3 linked regions of the Canis lupus familiaris genome follow. The protein of the gene in region 1 interacts with the protein of each later gene in a pairwise test. Links are inferred from orthologs where the notes say so. Each region holds a gene or a part of one and is shown on either strand. Other genes may lie near its edges.

Region 1 (3,360 bases):
CCACTGCCCCCCTCATCCCTCTGCCCCAGTCCTAGTCAACTACCAGTCTATTTTCCATCTCTATAGATTTGCCAATTCTGGACATTTCATATAAATGGAATCATACAATATGTGGTCTTCTGTGTTTTTGACATAGTGTTTTCGAGGTTCATCCATGTTGTAGTATATATCAGAATTTCTTTTTTTTTTTTTTGGCCAAATATCATTCTATTGTATGGATAGGCTACATGTTTATCTATCAGTTGACAGACATTCAGGTTGTTTCTACTTTTTGGCTATTAAGAATAATGCTGCTGTGCACATTTTGTGTGCAAGTTTAGCCATTTGGGACCTTGCAGTTGCTTCAAAGTTTGAAGAAAATTCTTACATGTACAGCTTCCACATCTTTTGTTTCCCTAATGTAAACTTACAGAAGTAGAATTGCTGACTAAAAGAACATTGCATTTTACAGAACTTGTCATATGGTTTCTAAGAAGGCTGCATTAAAAAATAAAAAATAAGAAGGCTGCATTGATCTTCTCTGTGCTCCCTTCGGTGTTATTAGCCTATGTGCTTAGTGATGGGCTTTTTTTTTTTTAAGATTTTATTTATTTATGTATTTAGAGAGAGTGCATGTGCAAGCGGCAAAGGGGGAGGGAGAGGGAGTCCAGCAGACTCCCTCACTAAGGGCAGAGCCTAAGATGGGCTCTATCCCATGACCCTGAGACCATGCATGACCTGAGCCAAAACCAAGAGTCAGATGCCCAACCGACTGAGCCACCCAGGGGACCCAGTGATGGGCATTTAATATCAAGTGCTATAAAATGGAAGCCCATGAGTTTTTGAAAAGACACGGTCCATGGCATCAAGATGCATATGTCCATTTTTAGACCAGATGAGCAGATGTAGGTACAAGGGTATTAGGTAGCAAGGTTATGTACATTATGAGGAGAGAAAAATAGAATGGTTAGATAAACACCTGCCTGGGATGAGATTCACACAGATATAATCATCAAACAACTTTTTACACCTAGAAGCTAAACAAAAAAGTTAATGGAACCAAACTGGCCTACGACTAGTTGGTCCAAAGTCATAAAATGTCCAGATTGCTTAGTCTGAATGCTTACCCTGTTTTTCAGAAGACTCGGATGTCAGCACAGTGCCTATTGGCTCTTCGGGCTTATCAGATCTGGCTCCAGCTGCTTTGTAGCCTCTATTATCTCATGATTTTGTCACATTCCTTGGAACATCTAAATAGCATCCCCTTATTGCCCTGTTTCTCATTCTTGTATATTCAGAAAAGTACCAATTAAAGATGATAAAATCCACAAGTAGTTCAGCTTTATAACTGAATATGGGAAGAAATGGGCCAGCCTTGCTCACTTACCCTGTTGATGCTGACACTGGCATGATCTCATGCCCAATGTGACCACCAAATTCCATCCAAAGCAACTGACCCATCTAGATCCAGAAAGACTATTAATCTGTAAAATTTGGGATGGAAAAAGTTATAGAGCTCTTCCAACAAGCTTCTTTTAAGCAACCGTTAATGCGGAAGCTGGTTACAGTGCCGCTTTTTTTTTCTTTTTCCAACTACTGAGACTCAGCCTTTTGAAACTAAACCATACCACATTGCAGATTCCATTTTCTAACAGGTCACACCCACTTGTGTTACACAACTCTTTCAGAAAACACCACATAGGTAGTTGGCAGAAAGTGCCCTGCTATTATCAGGAAGTTTGACTGGCAAACACAAGCTTGAAAAAACCAGAAACCTCTTTTCTCTTTTCCTTGCAGCTGTAAAGATGTCTGACAAGAACCAGATAGCTGCCAGCGCCTCCCTTATTGAGCAACTGCTGTCTAAAAGGAATTTTGAGGATCTTGGCAACCACCTTACTGACCTGGAGACTCTGTGTGTGACGAAAGAAGATCTCCAGGAGACCATTGTGGTCAGGGCTGTGTACAGAGTCCTCAAACACTGCCCCTCGGTGGCTTTGAAAAAGAAAGCCAAGCACTTGCTGTCAGAATGGAAAGCTCTTTATAAAAAGGATCTCCACTTCAAACCGAGGGACAAATCTTTCCCTACGGGTAGAAATGAAGAAAACTCAAGACTTTCTCATGACCCAAGTCAGGATGAGCTATCAGGCGGCTCCAGCTCTAATTCTTCATCCCACAGTGTTGCAGAAGCCTTTGAAATGATTGTGCCTGAAAATAGCACAAGTCAGACGGAACCTAAGGAGGAGCATTTCAGGAGTGGTGACCCTAAATCCACTGCCCAGAGATCCAGTGAGTTGCTGGATCCCATGGTACCTGTGAGAGCTAAATGCACAGAGCTTCTTTATGAAGCTTTAACTAGTCCTTTCACAGAGCAGCCCAAAGCTGATTTGTGGCGAAACTTTGCAAGAGAAATTGAAGAGCACATTTTTACCCTTCATTCCAAGAACCTCAAAAAATACAAAACTTGTGTGAGAAGCAAAGTTGCCAATCTGAGGAACCCCAAAAATTCTCACTTACAACAAAACCTGCTCTCTGGGACCATGTCTCCGAGAGAATTTGCCAAGATGACTGTGATGGAAATGGCAAACAAGGAACTGAAGCAGTTGAGAGCCTCCTACACGGAATCTTGCATACAGGAGCATCACCTTCCCCAAGCGATCGAGGGCACACACACAAGAAAAATAAAATGCAGACGCTGTGAGAAGTTCAATTGCAAGGTCACCGTAATCGCCAGAGGCACACTTTTCCTTCCAAGTTGGGTACGGAATTCAAATCCAGATGAGGAGATGATGACCTATGTGATCTGTAATGAATGTGGGGAGCAGTGGTACCATAGCAAGTGGGTGTGCTTATAATTGTAAATAAATGTTCTCTTAACCAAGAACCAGAGTGATGCCTTTTTTTTGATACCACCCTGTTATGCTTGCTTTTAAAATCTAATACAGGGGGGAAGCCCGGGTGGCTCAGCGGTTTAGCCCCTGCCTTCAGCCCAGGGCATGATCCTGGAGTCCCGGGGTCGAGTCCCACATCGGACTCCCTGCGTGGAGCCTGCTTCTCCCTCTGCCTGTGTCTCTGCCTCTCTCTCTCTCTCTCTGTGTCTCTCATGAATAAATAAATAAAATCTTTTTTAAAAAATTTAAAAAATAATAAATAAAATAAAATCTAATACACACTGTTCTTAAAACAACCCTACAAAGAAGGAAGGAAAGTCATTCGTTCAAGCTCACACCACAATCACTAAAATGTGACCGTTTGGGGAGAGAGTTGATGACTTTTTGTTTTGTGGCCACATATTACTCTGCTGTTCTCTGAGTGTGGCTGAGAGCAGCTCCTCCTGCCCTAGAGCCTGTTATAAATGCAGAGTCCCAGGCCTCGTGCTCCTGA
Region 2 (3,336 bases), on another chromosome or scaffold:
TCCTGGAGTTCCAGGATTGAGTCCCACATCGGGCTCCCTGCACTGAGCCTGCTTCTTCCTCTACCTATGTCTCTTCTTTTCTGTCTCTCATGAATAAATAAAATCTTAAAAAAAAGAAAGAAAGAAAGAAAGAAAGAACCTTGAAGCTGGGGCACAGGCCTGTCTGGAGGATGGGTGAAAAAGAGGGCATCCTTCTGGGCCAGACCTCGTGCTGGGTAATAGGGAACAGCACGGACTGGGAGCTATGGGCAGAATACCTCCAGGGCAGTAGGTTAAGTGCAGTTGGGGACCAGAGGCCAGCAGCCCTGGTGGGGAGAAAGGGTGGGGGACAAGGTCTCGGGAGATGCTCAAGGATACCTTCAACTCTTTTCAAAAGCACAGGGAAAGCCAGTCCAGGCTTCCCTCATCCAAGGATGAACCATACCCAGCTGGGCAGGGGCTCATATTCATTCATTCCGGAGGTGTCCAGCAGTTCTGCACTCCAGGCACAGGCCACAGGGCATCTTTACAAACCTAAGCTTTATTGACAGTCACATGCCACCAGGACAAGCTCTGAGGTGCAGGGCCCCTGCCCTTTGCCCACTTCCCTGGCTGGGGCAGCAAGGTGAGGCCACTCTCATGGTGTGGAGACAAGGGAGCAGGGCCTTTCTGGCAGCACCGGGATGGGGGGTGGTGGCGACCTCAGGCCCTGAACAGAACTGACCCAGAGCCTGCACTCCCCAAGTCCTGCATGAGTACAAGGCCGGGACGTGCCCAGAGGTTTCCTTGTCACCTGGGGCAGGTGGAGCTTGGCAACAGCCTCTTGGTACCTGAGACACTGAAAGGGGGCAGCTGGTGCCAAAAAGAGTAAAGACGCTGAGGATAGTCGGAGGCCCAGCCACTGCCGGGCACAGTAGAGGCAGGCCCCTCCCCAGAACGGCCCCATCAGCTGTCCTTAGCTCCGCTGCTCTTCTGCTCTGAGGCTGTGGCCTTGGTCAAGTTCCCAGCTTCCCTCTTCAGGACACTAAGCAGAGTCTGCGAGCTCTCCAGGATCTGGAAACAGACGTAGGATGGTCACCACCACTCCTCGCCAGCACTGAGCTGTGGGGCAGCAGTGCAATGAAGCCCCTGAAGGGCAGGTCAGACAGGGTCAGCAGGGCCCGTTCCCCCTAAGACTAGCCCAAAGCCCCTTCCTCGCACCCCAGGGAAGCCAGTCTAGGTTAGCTGAGCCCGGGGCCGCTCTTTGCTCATGGTCTGGGAGGACAATGGTGCAGAAAACAGGACTCCTGACCTGCCAGGCCCCCGACAGCCTCACTGACACCTAACCGGGATCCTGTCGCCCCTGCGTTTGGCCGGCCCTAGACTCCCCCGGGGCCCCAGCCCCACCTTGAGGTAGGCGGCTTCTGTCTCCGCGATGGTCCGGTCAAACTCGTTTCTAGAGGCAATCTTGCGGGCCAGGTTCTCGTTGACGCGAGCCAGTTTCTCGGTCAGCTGCCTCACTTCATTCTGCAGCCGCTGCTTCTCGTCTTCCTCCTGCTGGATCTGCCGGCACAACTCCTCCCGCTTCTGGCACAACTCCTCGATGCCTGGGATGGGCGAGCGGGAGGGCACACGCTGTGGACCCAGGGCAGGAGGGAGCACAGCACCCCTCCCACTCTGGAGCGTGCCCGGTGCACTGGACGGTGCGCACCCCTCGCACCCTGGACCGTGCGGGGGGCGGGAGGCGGTGCACGCTCTCCCCTTCCGCTCTGTCCCTCACTGCGCAGATACCCGGCGCCCGGGCGAGCGGCACAGCGGCTGTCCCCCTGGCTCGCCCGCAAGGCCCCCGGCGCCGTCCCGGCCGAGGCCCCACGCACGGACGGTGCAGCCCGTTGGGCCACGCGCGGCAGGCCCGCCACCGCCTGGACCCGCAGGCCGGCGAGCCCCGCGCCCTCCCAGCCCACCAGGCGGACCCCGCCGCGAGGCCGCTCACACTTGACCAGTTCGTTGTTATAATTCTGCAGCGCTGCGCCCTGCTGGGTCATGGTGACCGCCCAGGCCGCGACCACCCCAACCGCCGCTACTGCATCGCCGCTCCCGCCTGCGCGGTGCGTCCGACGGCGCGCCCTCCGAAACGTCACCGCTGCGCGCCGCTCGTGTGCGTCATCGCCGCGCGCCGCACCCGGAGCTCGGGGGACCTGGAGGGGGCCGCGCAGATGGCGGCGGCGGGGCGCGACGGCGACCCCGGGCCCGCACAGGAGCTGTTGCTGGCCTGGAACACCGTGAGCACCGGGCTAGTGCCGCCGGCCGCGCTCGGACTGGTGAGGCCCCGGGAGAGGGCAGCGGGCCCGCGCGGGGTCCCTGGGACGTCCGCCGGGTGGGCGTTGTGCTCCCGGACAGCTCCTACCTGGCGTCGGCCGCAGCCTCCCCTCCGCTGCGTCCCTTCCCCACTGCTCCCCGTCCGTCCCCGCGCTTTCCGCGTCCCTCCGCGTTCCCTTCTCACGGTTTTCTGCACCGCAGGCGTCCTCCCGCACCAGCGGTGCGGTGCCGCCGAAGGAGGAGGAGCTCCGGGCGGCGGTGGAGGTGTTGAGGGGCCACGGCTTGCACTCGGTGCTGGAGGAGTGGTTTGTGGAGGTGCTGCAGAACGACCTGCAGGCCCACATCTCGCTCGAGTTCTGGAATACCATCTCCCAGCGTGAGAACTGTGCGGACGAGCCCCAGTGCCTTCTGCTGCTCCTTGACGCCTTCGGCCTGCTGGAGAGTCGCCTGGACCCCTACCTGCGTAGCCTGGAGCTGCTGGAGAAGTGGACTCGCCTGGGCTTGCTGATGGGCGCAGGCGCTCAGGGGCTTCGGGAGAAAGTCCATACCACCTTGCGGGGCGTCCTGTTCTTTTCCACTCCCAGAATGTTTCAGGAGATGATTCAGCGCCTCTACGGGCGGTTTTTGAGAGTCTACATGCAGAGTAAGAGGAAGGGGGAAGGGGGCACAGACCCGGAACTAGAGGGGGAGTTGGACAGCAGGTACGCCCGCCGGCGGTACTACAGACTTCTGCAGAGCCCCCTGTGTGCGGGGTGTGGCAGTGACAAACAGCAATGCTGGTGCCGCCAGGCCCTGGAGCAGTTTCACCAGCTCAGCCAGGTCCTGTGAGTACTTGTGGCTGTGGCCATTTCCCTGTTCTTCTTGACTCTAGATTACTTTCCTGGGTCCAGCGGCCTCTTCAGAAAGCTGGTGAGCTGGCTCTGGGGAGGGGGGCATCTCTGCCCTGACAGTCCTGGACATTACAAAGGGACAGTCCCCAGGGTCCCTGTGCTGTGAATTTATACTCTTTGTCCTGGATAAAAAGAACAAGTATCTCTGCCACTCACGCTAATCTCAGGT
Region 3 (4,099 bases), on another chromosome or scaffold:
TAAACCACTGAGCCACCCGGGCTGCCCGACGTACTGTTAACTTAAGTGACATGTCTTTTTTAAAAAGTGCGTGCTTCTCTATATTATGCTTCCTTTTTTTTTTTTTTTTTACCTCAATTAATTTTACATCAGGACTCATCTTTGTAATCCCTTCATCTGGACTTGGATTACTTCTCGCTGGTGGTACGAATTTTAGTTTTTTGAGGGGATTCCCCTGCAACTGACTTGGCGCTGCAGACCGTCTCATATTCAGCAGTACCGACCTAAAAAATACCCAAAACACAGATCATCCATGCATCTGATAGAATTAACTCCAAATAGGAAAACAGTTCATCGCTACAACCGTATCTTTAAAAATACAGTAAGAGACTAAATATGCCAAAAAGCCTTAAAATATAAGTTTAACAGCCAGTAAGATTTTATTTTCATCACAAAGGGCTCCTGTAAGGAATCGAGGACTTAAGCAGGATGCCGTAAACGTGAGCCCGCGTGTTGGAGAATGCGAGGGGGGCCCGGGTCCCCGAGGCCTCCAGGGCGCCAGCAGTACCCCTCTGCGCAGGAGGAGCCGACGGCCAGCCGCCGCCCCGCTGACCCCGCCCTCCGCCTTCCACCCCCCCAGCAGCGGGCCCCGCCGGGACCCCGGGACCCCCGTGGCTCCTGACCGCGCCGCCCACGGTGCCCACGCACGGGGGGGGGGGGGGGGGGGCCCCGACCCTGCCAGCCCCGCGGGCCAACTCGGGAGGCCCCGGCAAACAGCCCAGCACCGGGCGGGCCCCACAGGGAGGCCCCGCAGGGAGACCCCCGGCCCGCGGTCGCCCCTCCCTGGGGCCTGCGCACCGCCAAGACCCTGCTGCCACCCGACCCCCCCGACCCCGACACCCTCACTCTTCAGCCCCGGCCCCAGCTCGCCCCCGACCCCCCCCCCCACCCGATGCTCCTGGCACCGGACCGCACACTCCAACTCCGGCCCCGACACTGCCTTGACCCCCACCGGCCGCGCCCCGCCTCCAGACCCCGACCCCGTCCCCATCCTCCGACGCCGCAACCCCCCCCCCCCCCCCCCCCCCCCCCCCCGCCCCGTGCACTTTAGCTCTGATCCGGACCCCGACCCCCATCCCTCCCGAACCCAACCCTGCCCGCCTCGCATTCCGCTCCGACCCCCACTCCGACTCCCACCGCCCGCACACATGAGCTCCGCCCCGACCGACCCGCCCGCCCCACACTTTAGCTCCACCCCCGACCCCGACCCCGACCCCCCCCCACCTCCGCAGACTTCAGCTCCGCCCCACCCTCCCCCTTAGCTCCATCCCGACCCCGCCCCCGCATCTTATATCCGCCCCAACCCGCATCCGCATTTAGCTCCTCCCCCACTCGGCCCCCGCCCTATTCAGCTCCGTCCCCCCGCCCCTGCCCCATCCCTCCCGCCCCCGCCCCCTTTAGCTCCGCCCCCACTCAGCCCCTCACTCTAGCCCGCCCCCACCCTCCCCTCATACTCTAGCCCCGCCCCCCTCTCCCCCTCACATTCTAGCTCCGCCCCCCTCTCCCCCTCACACTCTAGCCCCGCCCCCACTCGGCCCCTCACTCTAGCCCCGCCCCCACTCTCCCCCTCACACTCTAGCTCCGCCCCCTCTCCCCCTCACATTCTAGCTCCGCCCCCCTCTCCCCCCTCACTCTAGCTCCGCCCCCTCTCCCCCTCACACTCTAGCTCCGCCCCCACTCGGCCCCTCACTTTAGCTCCGCCCCTCTCCCCCTCACACTCTAGCTCCGCCCCCACCCGCCCCTCACTTTAGCTCCGCCCCCACTCGGCCCCTCACTCTAGTTCCGCCCCCTCTCCCCCTCACACTCTAGCTCCGCCCCCCTCACTCTAGCTCCGCCCCCACTCTCCCCTCACACTCTAGCTCCGCCCCCACTCGGCCCCTCACTCTAGCTCCGCCCCCACCCGCCCTCACTCTAGCTCCGCCCCCACTCTCCCCTCACACTCTAGCTCCGCCCCCACTCGGCCCCTCACTCTAGCTCCGCCCCCACCCGCCCTCACTCTAGCTCCGCCCCCACTCTCCCCTCACACTCTAGCTCCGCCCCCACTCGGCCCCTCACTCTAGCTCCGCCCCCACCCGCCCTCACTCTAGCTCCGCCCCCACTCGGCCCTTCACACTTAGCTCCGCCCTCTCTCCCCCTCACTCTAGCTCCGCCCTCACCCTCCCCTCACACTCTAGCCCCGCCCCCTCTCCCCCTCACACTCTAGCTCCGCCCCCACTCGGCCCCTCACTCTAGCCCCGCCCCCACTCTCCCCCTCACACTCTAGCTCCGCCCCCTCTCCCCCTCACATTCTAGCTCCGCCCTCTCTCCCCCTCACTCTAGCTCCGCCCTCACCCTCCCCTCACACTCTAGCTCCGCCCCCTCTCCCCCTCACACTCTAGCTCCGCCCCCACTCGGCCCCTCACTCTAGCTCCGCCCCCTCCCCCTCACACTCTAGCTCCGCCCCCACTCGGCCCCGCCCCTTCCCTTTCGGCTCCGTCCCCCGTCGCTCCGCACCCCTCCCCTCCCCTCCCCCCGCCGCTCCGCCGCCTTCCTTCCCTCCGCCCCCGCAGGCCCCCTTCGGCGCCCCTCCCCACGCCGTCCCGCACAGGCCGCCGCAGCCCCCCAAGCCGCCCCCTCCGAGGACGTACGGGCGAAGATCCCACAGAAGCCGCGCGTCCCAGCAAGACAGCCGGCGCCCGAGGTCCCGTCACCTCCCGGAGGTTAAGGCTCCCGCCTCGGAGCAGCCTATAGCGGGCGAGCCGGCCGCGCACGCGCACTGCCCTCCACCGGCTCCGCTCGCACGACCTCGACTGCGCATGCGCGGGTCTCTGCGCGGCCCCGTAAGCGCCTGCGGTCCGGGTCCGAGGTGTGGTCCTGCTCCGAAATATCTACTTGGAAAAAATATTTCTTTCCTTGTTGATGGCCTCCTGTCACCCGCTGTAGGAGCTGAGGATACAGACCTCATCTTAGAGCAGATCACACAGCTTAAATCTGGAACGTCGACACAGGTGTGTTCGCTGCAGGTGGATGGTCTGTGCTTGGAGAAACGGTATGCAGACGTCCTTGCCCGCGCAGCTCCTAAATCGTGCAGCACGTTAGGAATGAAGTGACTTTAGCAGTGTTGCTAAAATAATACAGGCCCTTAAATTGCCTGGCACAAATCGGCAAACTAACAATGGCCTGATACCCTTTAATATAGTGACAAGGCAAGGAAATAGACAGGTCCTAGGCCTTTAATGCAAAAGTATCTCCAGGGGCACCTGGGTGGCTCAGTTGGTTAAGCCTCCTCTTGGTTTCAGCTCCTGGCATTGAGGCCTCTGAGTTCCAGGCTCACCCACTCATGCTTGCTCTGCCTCTCAAAGAAATAAAATCTATATTTTTTTAAAAGTATCTCCAAACCGGGATCCCTGGGTGGCGCAGCGGTTTGGCGCCTGCCTTTGGCCCAGGGCGTGATCCTGGAGACCCGGGATCAAATCCCACGTCGGGCTCCCGGTGCATGGAGTCTGCTTCTCCCTCTGCCTGTGTCTCTGCCTCTCTCTCTCTCTGTAACTATCATGAATAAATAAAAAAAAAAAAAAAGTATCTCCAAACCGTGTCACTGTATGATCTATCAGAATACTCCAGTTTAAACAAAACACTTAGAAATGCGTGAACAGGGGCATCTGGGTGGCTCAGTCGGTTGCACACTGGACTCTTGATGTCAGCTTAGGTCTTGATCTCAGGGTTATGAGGTCAAACCCCACATTGGGCATGTTGGGTGTGCAGCCTACTTAAAATAAGTGAATACAATTTTCATCATTCAGCATGATTTTCAAAAGCCGTTAGTTCTAGGGGTGCCTGGGTGGCTCAGATGGTTAAGCATCTCATTCATGATTACAGCTCAGGCCATGGTCTCAGGGTTGAGAGATCAAACCCCATGTTGAAGGCTAAGCACCAGGCTATTTTTAAGACTCTCTCCTCTCTCTACTTCTTCCCGATTATACTCTCTCTCAAAAACAAAAAAAGCCATTTACTCTAAAACAGATGTGAAAATTACAGAAGACTAAGTTTTACCAAACTGTACTAGAGAAGGTATCATTTT

The links. The genes of interacting proteins can lie anywhere in the genome.
Region 2: the proteins of TCEANC (region 1) and SSNA1 interact in binary tests that used the Homo sapiens proteins (3 or more experiments, as listed by UniProt). The two-hybrid records come from large-scale screens. The link is inferred for Canis lupus familiaris from reciprocal best matches to the Homo sapiens genes TCEANC and SSNA1.
Region 3: the proteins of TCEANC (region 1) and RAD54B interact in a two-hybrid assay, tested with the Homo sapiens proteins (2 studies listed by BioGRID). The two-hybrid records come from large-scale screens. The link is inferred for Canis lupus familiaris from reciprocal best matches to the Homo sapiens genes TCEANC and RAD54B.

Annotation. Positions count from the first base shown.
Region 1 is NC_049260.1:10,120,698-10,124,057, forward strand, and holds the end of TCEANC (transcription elongation factor A N-terminal and central domain-containing protein), read left to right. Parts: intron 1-1,776; 5' UTR 1,777-1,784; coding exon 1,785-2,831; 3' UTR 2,832-2,860; downstream 2,861-3,360.
Region 2 is NC_049230.1:48,461,680-48,465,015, forward strand, and holds SSNA1 (Sjoegren syndrome nuclear autoantigen 1), read right to left. Parts: upstream 2,112-3,336; 5' UTR 2,004-2,111; coding exon 1,952-2,003; intron 1,566-1,951; coding exon 1,366-1,565; intron 1,033-1,365; coding exon 925-1,032; 3' UTR 501-924; downstream 1-500. Other genes in the region: ANAPC2 (anaphase-promoting complex subunit 2), read left to right, coding at 2,175-2,279, 2,479-3,101. UniProt on the Homo sapiens protein: Microtubule-binding protein which stabilizes dynamic microtubules by slowing growth and shrinkage at both plus and minus ends and serves as a sensor of microtubule damage, protecting microtubules from the microtubule-severing enzyme SPAST.
Region 3 is NC_049250.1:39,848,663-39,852,761, forward strand, and holds the start of RAD54B (DNA repair and recombination protein RAD54B), read right to left. Parts: upstream 2,801-4,099; 5' UTR 2,667-2,800; intron 986-2,666; exon of another isoform or gene 929-985; intron 264-928; 5' UTR 248-263; coding exon 113-247; intron 1-112. UniProt on the Homo sapiens protein: Involved in DNA repair and mitotic recombination. May play an active role in recombination processes in concert with other members of the RAD52 epistasis group.